Linked DNA regions of Oreochromis niloticus. The protein of the gene in region 1 binds, or shares a complex with, the protein of each later gene. Links are inferred from orthologs where the notes say so. Each region holds a gene or a part of one and is shown in the gene's direction. Other genes may lie near its edges.

The links.
Region 2: strip2 (region 1) and programmed cell death protein 10 share a complex: the UniProt entries of both Homo sapiens proteins name them as parts of the core of STRIPAK complex. The link is inferred for Oreochromis niloticus from reciprocal best matches to the Homo sapiens genes STRIP2 and PDCD10.

Annotation. Positions count from the first base shown.
Region 1 is NC_031981.2:6,725,866-6,732,983, forward strand, and holds the start of strip2 (striatin-interacting protein 1 homolog), read left to right. Parts: upstream 1-4,105; 5' UTR 4,106-4,264; coding exon 4,265-4,375; intron 4,376-7,118. UniProt on the Homo sapiens protein: Plays a role in the regulation of cell morphology and cytoskeletal organization. Required in the control of cell shape. Calmodulin-binding scaffolding protein which is the center of the striatin-interacting phosphatase and kinase (STRIPAK) complexes.
Region 2 is NC_031983.2:17,919,248-17,926,605, reverse strand, and holds the start of programmed cell death protein 10, read left to right. Parts: upstream 1-4,338; 5' UTR 4,339-4,463; intron 4,464-5,933; 5' UTR 5,934-6,065; coding exon 6,066-6,155; intron 6,156-7,358. UniProt on the Homo sapiens protein: Promotes cell proliferation. Modulates apoptotic pathways. Increases mitogen-activated protein kinase activity and STK26 activity. Important for cell migration, and for normal structure and assembly of the Golgi complex.

The DNA of each region.
Region 1 (7,118 bases):
GCTCTTCTTTCTCACCTGCTCTAGCGACGCCAGTGTTGAAGTAATGAAAAGTATTTTTATTTGGTCCTTCACTTAAACAAGAATACTGTAGTAGAAGCATGGCAGGCTTTTGGATCATCACGAGGGTATACTGTATATTTAGATGTTTATACAGAAAAGATTTTTCTATCTTTCGTTTATTTCCTCTCCTCTAATATCATTGCAGTATAATGTTCTAATGATGCGTGTAATAAATATACTCGAACTCTCGTTTTAAATACTGTGAGAAAATATTTACAGAAATACCAAACACGCAGCCACCCTGGTACTTAAGGGAGCAGCTCACCTCAAAAATCAAATGTAGTTTGTTTGTTTGTTTGTTTTCTTTCAAATGTAGGTTGTAGCTTTGTTTGGATCTGCCTTCTCTTGAACGTCATGGAACTAAAAAGCATTACCTTCTCTTCTGGTTCTTGGCGCATTAAAAAAATCGATTTGAAACTAGGTAGCAGTGTCACTTTCGCAAAATTATGCTCCGGCTATTCAAGATAAAGGAACAAAACCCCACCCAAATATTGTGAGCAGCTTCATGTAGGAACTGTTTCCTTCCTGCTGAATTAAAACCACCCTCTCACTCATAACGCTCATTCTTGTGACCGGGTGTGAACACTAATGGGTGTCCCCCTGTCCCCTGAGCTGTTTGTTTGGCAGATGTAGATAGAAGAAATAAAATAGTTCCTACATGAAACCACCAACAACAAGATGAGATTTTTACCCACACCCTGCTGGGTGGGCGGTGTAGACACCCAGGTTTGTGAATGCGAGAGAATGAAACGATGTATGATTTTTAACTTGATACCATAGTTGCATCTACTAGGAGGCCAACAGTATTTCTGAGTTACAGCTTTAAGCGAAACCCCACTTCCATTATATTTAAGAGAAGGCAGACGCCTCTACAGCATACATCTCTGTCTGTGCAGTGTACATTGTGGATAAAATAACACTAAATGCCAGGAAAATCTATTTAATAAATGACTGTGAGGTGAGCTGTCCCATTAAGCAGATTTCTTCTGTCAGGTCCTCAGTAAAATACATGGTGCTGTTAAGAATTACTGTATTTGCCATAATCAGATGACACAACTCTTTGGTACTCACAGATGAGTTGAGCTTACAAATGAAAGACGGCACGCACACGACATCTCTGACGTGCACTAGCCTTTCAGGTCCATTTCCGCCTTTTCTCCCACCCGGAAGGCGCTTTCTTTCTTTGTCTGTCTTTCTTACGGCTGTAATGAGCTGCACGGTCGCCATCCTCTGCAGCTCGTCCCCAGCTGAGCTGACATTTGAAATTAGAAAAGCCCTGACAGTGATTTCACCTGAAGTGTACCCCGCCGCCACACCGGCTCTGGCTCTGCACCTGAACCGATCACAATCTCTTCTGACGTGCTGCGAGACGCCGCCAGCTCTGCTTTCACACACTAGGCTCAAACGCACACAGAGTGGCTCATTACCCAAGTCTGAAAGTTTACTGTATCGTACAAGATATGAAAGGTAACATTAAAAGTTTTATTTTTTGAAAAGGTGGAAGTGGCACAAAAAAAACTTTGTTTACCAGTTGAATAAGTTAGTCTGCTCTCTAAAAGTCCAAGTATGCTTTTGCAGGTCAGTTTAATCAAGTAGTTCAGCATTTTATTTTGAAGGGTTCCTGAGAGGGCTCGTACAACCTATTTGACAAGGTTTCATGCATCTATTGAAATTTTGGTCAAATAAATAAATAAAACTCTGTTCCTTTTTTGTTTTAGGCAAAAATAAGAACAATATGGGAACCCTTTAGTCAAACTTCTATACTGAGTCCCTTTCATCCGTCTCTTCATGTTGTTGACTGCTTGTCTGTAGTACTTAAACCTTTTGTCTTAAGTCTCTTTTTTCTTCCTTTTGTGCGCGCGTGTGAACGAGCGAGATGACGACGACGGTGCACATCTAAAAGTCTCTCTGTATTTGTAAGCATCCTTTCTGTTTTGTAGGCCATAGTTGCTTTGTTACCAGCTGCCTCAGGATCCTAGCCTGTGCGTTAGGGGTGGAGAAACCGTTTTGTTTTTCCGTCAGCGCTCTGCTGACCGGGTAGGCGGGGGAAGACACCAGCATCATAGATGTATATACATACTATATGCAGATATGACAACCTTTAAAAGTATAGGAAGGTAAAAGAAGAATCGACACCTGTATTTATTGTTGTAAATCCTCATACTGTTCAAACTGACAAAAATTCAACATGTTTTAAGTTGTCTAATAAAGAAAAGATAAACCCTATGTTTAAATATTGCAAGTGATAATGTTAGATGATAAGCAATAATGACAAAATTCTGTAATCTGAATGAATAAAAAAAAATGGGGAAAAAAGTTATTCCTTTGTGTGCTGCTTTATTTCTGCTACTTTTAATACACAGTCACCCAGTGTGTTCACATATAGAGAGTTTTTTTTTTTAATGTCACAGCCTGTGTTGTGTCATTGTGGATTGGTTTCTAGTTGTATTTATGTGCCGTGGAAGAAGACACGTGCAGCTGTTGAGGTCTGTCATAGCCACAGTGAGCTCATCTGAGCCAGCAGCAATCAGACGGGGACATCTCTGACATCAGCCGAGCCGAGCTGGCTCTGAGCCTCTATTTATTCTAGAAACATTAGTCAAGTTTATGTGAGCAGATTACTTTAAATAGAATCATATTGTATGTGTGTTACACTATAATCTATTTACATTCTATTTCAGCTTGTTTCTTTTGAAGCATTTAAAATGAGGTTTGGTTTGGGTGCTACAACAGTAATGTATAAGCTTAGTTTCTTATATGAAGTGTCACTGTGACAAATCTGTAGTGCTTAAGGTGGAGGGAGAGGGTGGCCTGAAGTGGGCACGGTGGTGGAGCCAGACTGACACCATTAATTTCACAGGGGTGGCTCTGAAACTGACTGCTGCTTCTTACTACACTGCATTCATGCTAGTGTAATACACAATGAGGACTCATTATTAACATTTATTTAACCAACCATTTCCCAACCAAAGAATAGACATTTTTATATTCTATATAAAGCCAGTAGTTGCCAACTGGTCTCTAGGTTTGTTGACTGGAGCCTTATTCACATAACCCTACAACGAACAACTTAATGTTACATCTGTCATGTGACTACAAATCCTGAATAGATCCGCCACTGTTGTCTGCCATCTTTTACATACAGTCTATAGTCAGGCCTTTTGAAGCTGCCTTGACCCACCTTTAAGAGAAATGAACCCTGATGATACCATTGGGATAGTTTTTGGACCAAACCTGTACTTTAGTCTGGAATTTATAACAGAAAATAGGAAACCTTGTCCTTGTGAACACTGTCTGTAGGTACTTTGCAGTTTGTCATAAGTCTGCTACCATGAAACTAAACAGTTAATGTTTTTGATAAATCCAATTTGCCTTCCTAAGAAATCGTCCATCAACTGGAATCACATACCATTATGAAAGTGAGTCTACTTGAGTTACATTTAGACAAGTTACCGCTGCTCCTCTGCCTTGCTCGAGAGTTCCTCACATCACTGTGTTTTTGTAGACCAGCTCCTTTGTTGGGTCTGCTGATTTTACACTTGGCCTGCGATGGATTTAACCACCAGTAAATTACTATTTAACCTTGAACTCTCTCACCTCCCCCATGGCCCCAGCCATGTGGCTCAAGCCTGCTCTGAACTGTTCACTCCAATCATGTCATCTTAAGTGGTTTTTCCACAGTCAGGGGGCTGTGTGTGTTTCAGTCTGCAGGACAATCCCCTCACAGCCGCATATCAATAATTCACAGGGGAAAGTGACAGGAGGTGAAATGATAAATGAAGATGCACACATATGAAGTGATCTTCGACAGTGACATCACAGCTGACGGCAGACTGTGTGGCAACTCAGCAAAGGGTCGCCCAGGGATGCAGCAGTTATTTTTATAAGATGAAGGTGCTTCTAATACTTTGAGCCATTCAACCTCCACTTTAATACACTGACATCGTTTTGGCTCCATGTGGTCAGCTGATGCGCCTCTCTTTAACTCCGCCCTCTCGGAGCGAGCAGGGACAGCGAATCAAACATATCGGGGGGGGGGGGGGGGGGTAGTCTCAACAGCAGCAGGAGGAGGAGGAGGAGATCCTCAACTTCGCTCTCCGGAGTCGGTCCCCCCCTCCTGACGCGGTGCAGTCTTGAGCTGTCCACCGGACCGGTATGCACTATCCGCGGATGAGGAGGAAGTGAGCCGAGCCGACCGTGAAAGATGCAGACGGAGGACATGGAGGTACCTATCATTAATAACCTTAACGATAACGGCGACAGACAGAGGCCGAAAGGGAAAGATGTGTTCAAGGATCAGCAGAAGGAGTCAGAGGTAAATCCAAGTACAGCACAGCGGGCTCCCACAGCTCCTGGTACAGGAGCGCACTGGACGGCTGTGTGTGCGTACGTGTGTGTGAATGTGTGTGTCGTTGCTGGGAAGCTTTCAGATCAGCTGAATGTCCTTTCCATGCAGCGAGTCGCCGTCTTGGCTCGAGAGCATGCCTGCATGCATGCGGGCAGACGGCGAGGTGTTATTTTGGCAGCGGCTCCTATAAATAACCCAGCAGTAATCCTACAGCGGTGCTCAGCGTGGGGGACTGCAGGTGGTGAAATGTGACTGCTGCTCCCAGGACCACCGAACGTAACTGCATATCATATTTATGTCCTCGTGGTGTCCTTTTGGCATCTGGAGTGCATCCTCCATTTAATCAATCAGAGAATCGGATCAGTTTTTGGCAGTCCGCCTGCCCCTCAGATGAGCCTTTATTGGTTTTATTTGGTATCTTTGTGAGAGGAGGGATTTGGTTTAGTACGCTTTCTTGGGAACTGAAATAAAAGTGGCTACCAGAAAATAAAATATGTGCAAATTTAAAATCTTTGAGGTTTGAACTACAGTATGAATGATATACTGGTGGCACAATAATAAGTTGATACTGGCCTGTCACAAATATAGAGTTGTTTGGGATATATATGAATGCTTGGGAAGGTTCAGAGACCTAATCTGGATGCTACAATCCCACTAAATGTACAGTTGTTTCCAGTCCCGTGCATATCACCAGCAGGTGCCCTCCTCTGCCTTCTAGCTATCTCTGGAGGCTGTTATCATTTACATCATTTTTTTTTTTTTTACATCTATTGTAAAAAAATATTTTAAAAAGAGATTCATGAATGATGAAAATATGTAGTCAGCTTAAACGTTGTGAGTTAGAAAGTTTCAATTTGTAATGGGTTTTATATAAATAAGATTGTATTTTAACTCAAACTGCATCAAGAAATGATCTCCCTAGACTATTAGACTATAATTGCCTTCTGAGTTATTGCTACAAGTCAGGGTGGATCAATGTTTTGATGTCATTTGCAGCAAATATCAACCCTGTTGCAATAGAAATCGAGACTCATCCAACCAGGCAATGTTTTTTTTTTTCAATCTTCTGCCTGATTTTAGGGAGCTTGTGCAAATTGTACCCTCAGTTTCCTGTTCTTAACCGAAAGGAGTGGGACCCATTGTGCTCTTCTGCTGCTTCAGCAGCAAAGATGCTGATCCCAGTAGAAATCCCAGTTGATTATCACCTTTCTTCACTATTCTGATACTCAGTTTGAACTTCCGCAGGCCGACTTGAATGTATTGACTTGTTGCCACGTAATTGGATGATTAGTTATTTGCATAAACAAGCTGTTGAACAGGTATCCTTGAAGTAGCTAGCAAGTGTATATAAATAGAATATTGACTAATATGTTGATATTAGAGCCTTTTTACTGTCTAAAAATTTGTACCTGCAAATCCAGTATGAGTTTGTGTTTGAACTGCTGGGTGTATATTGGAATCAGCCAATAAATCAATTTTTTTACATCATTGCAGTATCCTTTTTTTGATAAAAAGACTGAGGCGGTCCCATAGGTCTGGGGTATAAGCATATTTTCTGTGGTTTAAAGAGTGTTTAGAGCCACTGTAGACTGCTTATGGGAGTCACCTTCTGTAATATGGACCTGTAAGCTGTAATCTCCTCCGCTATTTCTAAACATGACGCTGGCGAGGCTTGTTGTTAAGGCTCCCTCAGTGCTCGGCAGCTATAATTCATCCTCCTCATGAAAAAATTACTAGCTGATGGGCTTCATTGGTGGGGTTACTCGGTCCAGATACATAAGAGATGTTACTCAGAGTGCGTTGAAGCCGAAACCATTCAGAGTGCTTTGAAAGAGGACGCTGAATGTTTTTGGGGGGAATTAGAGCATATTCATCTTACAGTCGTTGGATTGTGGGATAGGGGGTTGGGGGTGAGTGAATGAGGTTCCCTGGCCTCTACAGTTGAACCAGGAACCTCAAACCTGACTCCGTCGTGTACGTGAACTGTTTGTCTTTTTTGCTGGCTGGAGTGGTCATGTCCATGTTGGCATATGTTGGTAGGAGAGGGGGCGTTCAGCCTTGACACTGCGCCCAGTGTTTGCACGCTGATGCGGTGTAGAGCGTGCAAACACAGGAGCCGTGCCAGTTCAGTTTGGAGCCGGGGCGATTTTGGTTATCAGCTGGCGGCAAAGAGAAGAGGAGTGAACGAGAGTGAACAGGGGGGAAAATGAAGGAGTGGAAGAGAGAGACTGGGTAATTGTAAGGAGAAATGGAAGAGTAGCAGCAGACGAGGAAGAGAGAGGAGAGGCATGAGAATTAAAGAGAAACAGAAAGAGACATGTCATTTCGGTTTGGGCAGAGGAGTTAACTTCAGTTTCAGGGATGCCAATGGAGGACTGAGGGACTAAGAGACTCAGTAATATCATCTATTTAAGTAATTTATCAAGGCTAATTAAGCCTAAGTGAAAGTGTTAAAGGCCTTGAAAACAAGTCGCCTCAATCACTTTTACTTTCAGGAGTGGGCTCTTGCATGATCACACAATTTTCAGTGTAAGCTAAACAGTTTGGGTTGTTTTTCTTGAATTTTTGTATATTCTTCTGCATAAAGGTAATCTAGGAAATTTTTGCAGGTTCATACATGTCTTAATTTAGCAATTTTAAAATGAACTGACAGTTTTAAGGCTGTTTGGTTACACTTAATGTTGTAAACAATTATTTTATTGACTAAGAA
Region 2 (7,358 bases), on another chromosome or scaffold:
AATGGCAGATGAAGATATCAGTGCCTAAAAATCTGCACACTAACAGGAGGAAAATAGAAGTCTTTGTGAAGGTACACAGCAGACCATGTCTGACACAGTGAATGGCGCAGGACAGACCATAGCCAAAGGGAGGCCTGACATCACCCTTAAAATGCAAGGCATGCTGTCTAAACGGGTGGAAATGTTCAGGGTAGTCTGCACCAGTGTAACAGGGTAGACCGGAATTGGCAATGATTTTGGAGCGTGTGTTTCACTTTTGCAATGAGCCAATGGCTGTGGTTGGGCGGGGTTAACTAAAGGCAGGTGTATCTGATTCTGCTTCTACTTTAGTCTACATATGCCATGTACTGCAAACACTGCTGTCACATTTTTTCTCTCTCTGTACAGGTATGTTACATAGCCCAGATTTAAGATGGTTTAGATTAACATCAATGTGTTTATAGTAGATGTTCTTTTGAGGTGCTGCGAGTAGATGTAGCTGTATGTTTTTCCACATTTTCATTCTCAGTGCAGGCCAGTCTCTGTTAAATGCTGCAGCTTGAAGGCAGAGCTGGCCTGCTGAGCCTGGGGTGGTTGCTGGCCGACTCGACACAGGGTGGTGGTTCTGGGAGGACCTGTTGGAATTTGTCAGCATGCTAGTGTCTAGCCACCCTGTGGCAAAAGTGGCCCTAGCCTTGGACTATGTGTTTTGTTCCTTCTGCAAATGGGATGCTGGACTGTATTATATATTATAGCTGGGACTGTTTCTCATGAGAGTATGTCATTTTTTGCCCTCAGCTGAGTCTGTGTGTTACACCAAAAAGCAATTATGATAAATGATTTCCATAAGGCCCACTAGATTTGCACAGCAGCTTTATTTTAAGTTACTGATTATCTACAAGTGTTCTAAATGTGTATGCATTTGTATGCTGATTGGGGAAATAACATTATTTAATTTTCTCTGGAGGTCCCTTGAAGGTTCCGCAAAACTAACCTTGAGCGAATGTACATTCACAAAGTGTGTGTAATCAGATTAGTAAAATGAATCTGTAAGCATGCGAGTATAATGGCTGAAAAGCCTTAAAGTTATGCATTGAAAATGCAAACAAGTTACCAGTTGCAGCTCACCCAGCTTTCTAGTTGGCTGTCTTTTTATATGTGACTTTTGTAACACTTCTCCTGTGGCAGTTCCACAAAAATATATTTATGGCATGATTTCTGTAGTAAAACCAGTTCAGTACTGTCCAATCAACACATGTACAAGTTGGTAATTTAACTGTTTTATAATATTACCTTTAATTTATCCTGCTGTAAATGTCACTGAAATTGACAATGTCCTTTTCAAGAGTAACGTCAGCAAGAAGCGAGCAATAATTACAAGTAGCAACTGAACATAAACACACAAATACAGATGGGGCTCATTACATCCAGTCAAAATAGGTACAATTCAAACTGACCTGAGAGACTTTGGTAAGCTGTATGTGTTTTTACAATTCTAGCAAATATCATCTTAGAGTAGCAGCACACAGTTCCCCAAAACAGCAGCTGACCAGTGAAGAATAGTGGTTTATTGACTGAGAGCAGCTCTAATCATCTAACAGCTGGCTGACTGCTGGAGAGCCTTGGATGACAAGCAAACAGCAGCCACTAGCTCTGGGAGGAAAACCAACACCGATAACTAAACGTAAATATACATATGAACAATCATAATATGTCACTTTACATTCAAATAATCTATAACATCTATGTCTTTTTACTTAATGTTTTTTTTTTTTTTTTTAAATTTGACTAATAATGGGCAAAGCCATGGTGTGCGAGACCACGGTAGCGTTATTAAATGTTAAGAAAAATAAAGCTGCCCACATAATCGGCACTTTATTCACACCAAGTAAATAAACTGTTTCTGGACTTTAATGCACAAGAAGGTAAACTTTAAGTGGCCCTGTCTCCTGATAGAAATATTTGCATAGCCTTAAATCATAAAAATATAATAATCATAAAAACAGATCTCTTGGGGCCCCCTCCTGGCAGGTTTATGTAAATGAAGAGTGAGACGAAAGGTCACACAAACTCGTTTCCTGTGCACAAACAAATTATTAACTGAGAGGTAGTAGCGAACGATGGAAACACCAGCTTAGTCTTAGAATAGTGCCAACTAGCCAAAAGCAGCTGGCTGACCATCTGCAGCATTAATCATATAATCTACAACTCCAGAGGCAGCATACCATTGGCCACTTTTAGATCTTGGTACTACTTCAAACTCATTATTACTGTTTCATAGTAAACTCTTTGGTTGAAATTTTGACTAACATCACAAGACAACCATGAAAACCAATTAAGCTGCAGGCTAGCCCTCATCACTCAGTGGAGGCCAAACACTAGATACAATTCACTTTTGTTACACGCAATAGATAATCTTGGTTTATTTCAGTTTATTTTTATTTGTTCTTGGGCAAACTGGATTGGCTGAGATTAAAGTTAAGCTTCATAACTTTTTTATTTTATTTGACTTTATTGTCTGAAGTGCTGTCCATATATTCTGAATAGGATATTTCACTTGTCTTTATGAACACATTTTACATTTTTTAAAAAGGTTTATAAAAGTATTATTTCATTCATTTTTTGTTTTATTTTAAAAGTTACAGTGCTGTGAAAAAATATTCCCACCTTTTCTGACTTCTTAGTTTTAAAAAGCTTTCCAAACCTACTTGGGCCTACGTAAAAAAAAAAAAAGAAACCCCCAACAAACCTCTCATGAATTAACTTTGATTAGAAAGCTGAATTCCACTAGCCTCACCCAGGCCTGATTACTGCCAGGCCTCTTAAATCAAGAAATCACTTAATTAGAAGACACTAAATTAGACTAAAAGATCTCAAAAAGCAACACATCATGCCACGATCTAAAGAAACAGCTGAGAAGCAAAGTCATTTACATCTACCTGTCTGAAAATGGATTAAAAGCCATTTCTAAGGCCTTGGTACTCCAGTTAACCATGATGAGAGCTGTTATCCTCAAATTGGGACAGTGGTAAATCTTCCCAGGAGTGGCCAGCCTACCAAAGTAACCCCAAGAACGCATCAGTGACTCATCCAGGAGGTCACAAAAGAACCCAGGACAACATCTAAAGGACGGCAGGCCTCACTTGCTTCAGTTAAAGTCAGAGTTCATGACATAATAATAAGGAGACTGGGAGGAACATGACATGTATGGTAGAGTTTCAAGGTAAAACGCACTGCTGACCAAAAGACATTTACACATTTACAACACAACCTATCTTGGTGATCCTCAATACTTTTGGAAAATTATTCTGTGGACTGATGAGATCAAAGTTGAACTTTGTGGAAGGTTTAAGTCCCGTTACATCTGGTGAAAAATAGGACAGGATTTAATTTAAAACAAAAAACATCACACCAACAGTAAGACATGGTACTGGTAGTGTGATGGCCTGAGGTCTGCTTTGCTAAAGCTGCAGTTACTTATTATTTTGTAGATTCAATGGATTATTATAAATCAGCTATGAGCAATATCTAAGTAACACCTGTCATTGATTCAATTATTATGGTCCAACAACACAGTGTGTATGATTCTGTCAGTCATTCTACATAATGAGTACATTCACTTGTTTATTTACGCTTGTGCACTACAGTGGTTTTACAACTTTAATTTAAGCAAATAGTTTGGGTGCCTTTTTCCACTTTGAAAGCAACATTTACCAAATCAAATTGTGTTTAAATTCTTGGGAAGCACCACACCACCACAGCTGAATGTCTGTCTCCATCTCACCATCTCCCTAGGATCCTTTCTCTCATACCAACACTTTGCCTTCACTATGAAATTTTGTTATGGTCCTCCTCTTTACCTGCTCCATGGCAGCTCCATATTCAACACCTATTCTACAATATATCCACTGCCCCCTCCTCTGCACATGTCCAAAACCATCTCAGCCTTACCTCTCTGACTTGGCCTCAGAGCAGCCTTACCTCTCTGACTTGGCCTCAGAGGCTCAACCTCAGCTGTTTCATTTCTTACCCTGTCCAACCTGCTCACAGTGCATCTGCATTGCATTGTAAACATTAGTCAAAATGAAATTAAGCCCAACAAGGAACTGAAGGACACAGTGGAGCTGAGCTGAGCTGTGATGCTGCCATACTGCTGTCTCAGTCCTCAGAAGTCTGGACTCCCCTGAGAACTTACTGAGTCCGAAGGAGAGAAACGCCCGTGTGATATTTTTATCATGAGAAGACAAGACTTCCGCAAAGTAACTCAAAACTCTACTACGTGTACAATGTAACTATTTAAATGACGTCAGAGTCGCTTAATTTATCTGCTCTTTGATTGGACGGTGTGTGTTTACGTAGCAACGGTCCGGAAGATGTCGCTGGGGCCAGTCCTAAAAAACTTCCGCCTTAAGTTGTAGAGAAAACACAGCAGCTAAAAAGGCTATCGACGGCGTAACCATCCCATTTACGAAGTCAGACAAAAGGTAGATACCTGCTCACATTTTTGACACATACTGTAATGACACATTTGTCCTAAACCAGCCGGTTGGCGTGTTTTAGGATCTCAAAAAATATAAATCCAGAAATTACCAGAGCTAGCACGGAAGCTCGGCTCTTCACTGCTAGCAGTTCGCTACCATCGATATGGTCGGCCATAGGCCTCAGGTTGATATTTTTACGGGTAGATCGCGATAAATATAATACTATACCTACCCATTTGTTCTGACTCTTGATTTTAACAGTCTTAAGAAAAATAGCCAGCACAATGTAACGTCTACTTTATATCTACTGGGTTAGCTACGTCCAGTTAGCCGAGTCTCAAATACCTGGGCTTGTATACATCCAGTAAGCTGCTTAAGTGGTTGGGTTAGCCAGCTACCATCGCGTTTGGTTGAAAAATAGTAATGTTAGTCTAGTTTATGTCTGAGAAAAAAATCTAAACATTTGTTTAATGTAAACTTAATGACATCGAGAAGTATTTGGCTAGCCTAGCTGAATACCCCAAATGGTATTTAGGAGGCTAATGTCTGATCTACATCGCCAAACTTTTTTTTGTTGTTAATGTAATTCCTGTCATTCCTTTTGGACTTTTACATATTTTGATATGAATCAATGCAATTATGAAACGGGTTGGTGTCTTGCTTGTAATAAGCTCTTCTATTCCGTCAACTGTCATATTTTCACATTGATGTTTGGTCATTGAAGGTTTGCTGTCATCAGCCAGGTAACTGTGCCACTCCCCTTCTCCAGACTCACAAAAGAGCAGTGTTTGAATGGCAATGGCAGCTTTATTTATATAACACATTTCCTCTTGCGTAAACGTGATTAACACAAATGATGGAAACATTAAAAACCTGTGTAGGTTTGACAGTCTCTTAAGGCAGTCAAAACGGCAAAATAAAACTTTTTGGGAAAACCTAAGGTTTTGAGTCAGCGAGCAGCTTGTTCCAAAGAACAGGAGCACAGTAGCAGAAAGACCACTCGGCAAACTTGGATCTGATTTGAGAAATATTTAAAAGATCTGCACCTGATGACCTGAGAGGTTTGATTGGGTTAACAGTGAGTCAGAGATAGGGAGGGGGGCAAGCCATTGAGAGCTTTATGAACTAATAGGAAGCTTTTGAAATGACTTCAATACTGGTCAATAGTATTAACTACTAATAATATGGTCAGTGTGGTTTTCCTTTTGTCTGAACATTATAGAAAATGCTAGTTAAACAGTATTGAGTCGGCATTGCAGAATAAATATCTGACATTAATGAATTAGACATTACAGTGCATAAATACCAAGTACAAATAGAGGTTATAAGGAATGTGTCATAGTGATTTTATAAGTTATATTTATTATTTCGTATGTTTGTTAGGGTGTTGAGAAGTTTTAGTTGTGGATCTATTTTTATAAATCCAGTCTCTTCATTTACACTGTTTTACTGTCTCACATTTTTCTTCTTCAGGCTACTATACTCTGGAGTTTGGGTGGTTTTGAGCGTGTGTGTGTGAGTGTGACTGGTTGAGTGCATGTGTGAGTGTATGTGAGCTGCAGATTCTTCCTCACTGTTACAACCAGAGCTGCTCCTCCCTGGAGGATGACAATGGAGGAGATGAAGAATGAAGCGGAGACAAACTCCATGGTATCCATGACGCTGTACGCCGTGATGTATCCAGTTTTCAATGAGGTAAAATCTCCAAAAGTTGAATCTGTTCATCTGGACGTAGCGTTTTGTGGGAGAAACGTTTCGTCACTCATCCAAGTGACTTCTTCAGTCTCAGCTGACTGCAGGTTTCCCCAAACCTTATAAACAGTACATTTGCATAATGACTGAAACCAGCCCACTGAAGGAACAATGGGCTGTGAGGTCAGTTCCTTAATCATAATTATGCAAATTCCCATGAGGTAAAATATCACATGCTGGGGACAAAGGTGCTGATAGTTTGCCTGGACATCCCCTCATCAGGAGATGTCCAGGGAAGCTATTAGCATCAGCATGCCTGTATGAGAAACCAGAGACCCAGTAACGCATTTGAAAATTTATAATAATGAATCTGCATAGCAGAAACAAAGATGCATATACAGTGCTGTGAACAAGTATTTGCCCACTTCCTGTTTTTTTGTTTTGTTTTGTTTTTGCATATTACATACAGTTACATGTTTCACATCAACAAACAAATGTAGATATTAGAAAAAGATAACCAAAGTAAATACAAAATGCAGTTTTTAAATGATGATTTCATTTATTAAGGGAGAGACTCAACTTTGATTAACCACATTTTTTGGAAAGCTGAGTAGAACGTCAATAGCCACACCCAGACCTGATTACTTGGTGAATCAAGAATGACAAAGCGAGGTAGGTAGGCTAAAAGATCTCGTAAAAAACGTGTCATACCATGATCTTAAGAAAGTCAAGAGATAAAAATGTCAGTCTGGAAAGGATTATAAAGCAATTTCTGAGGCTTTAGGACTCCAGTAAATCAAAGTGAGAACCCTTATCCGCAAATGGAGAAAACATGGAGCAGTGGTGAACCTTCCCAGGAGTGGGCACCCTACCAAAAATACCCCAAAAGCACATCAACAATGTATCCAGGAGGTCAAATGAACCCAGAACAACATGAAAAGGACTGGAGCCCTGATTTGCCTCAGTTAAGGCCTTTTTTCATGATTTAACAATAAGAAAAATGGCATGGTATGGTATGGGAGAATTTCTAGATATAAACCACTGTTGGCCAAAAGAACACAAAGGTTTGTCTCATGTCTACCAGAGTTTTGGAAGGTTTGAGTCCTGTTGCATCAGCATTTCATAAAAGAAAATCATACCAACAGTCAAACATGTCTGAGCTGCTTCAGGACCTGAATAATTTTCCATAATTGAGGGAACCACAAG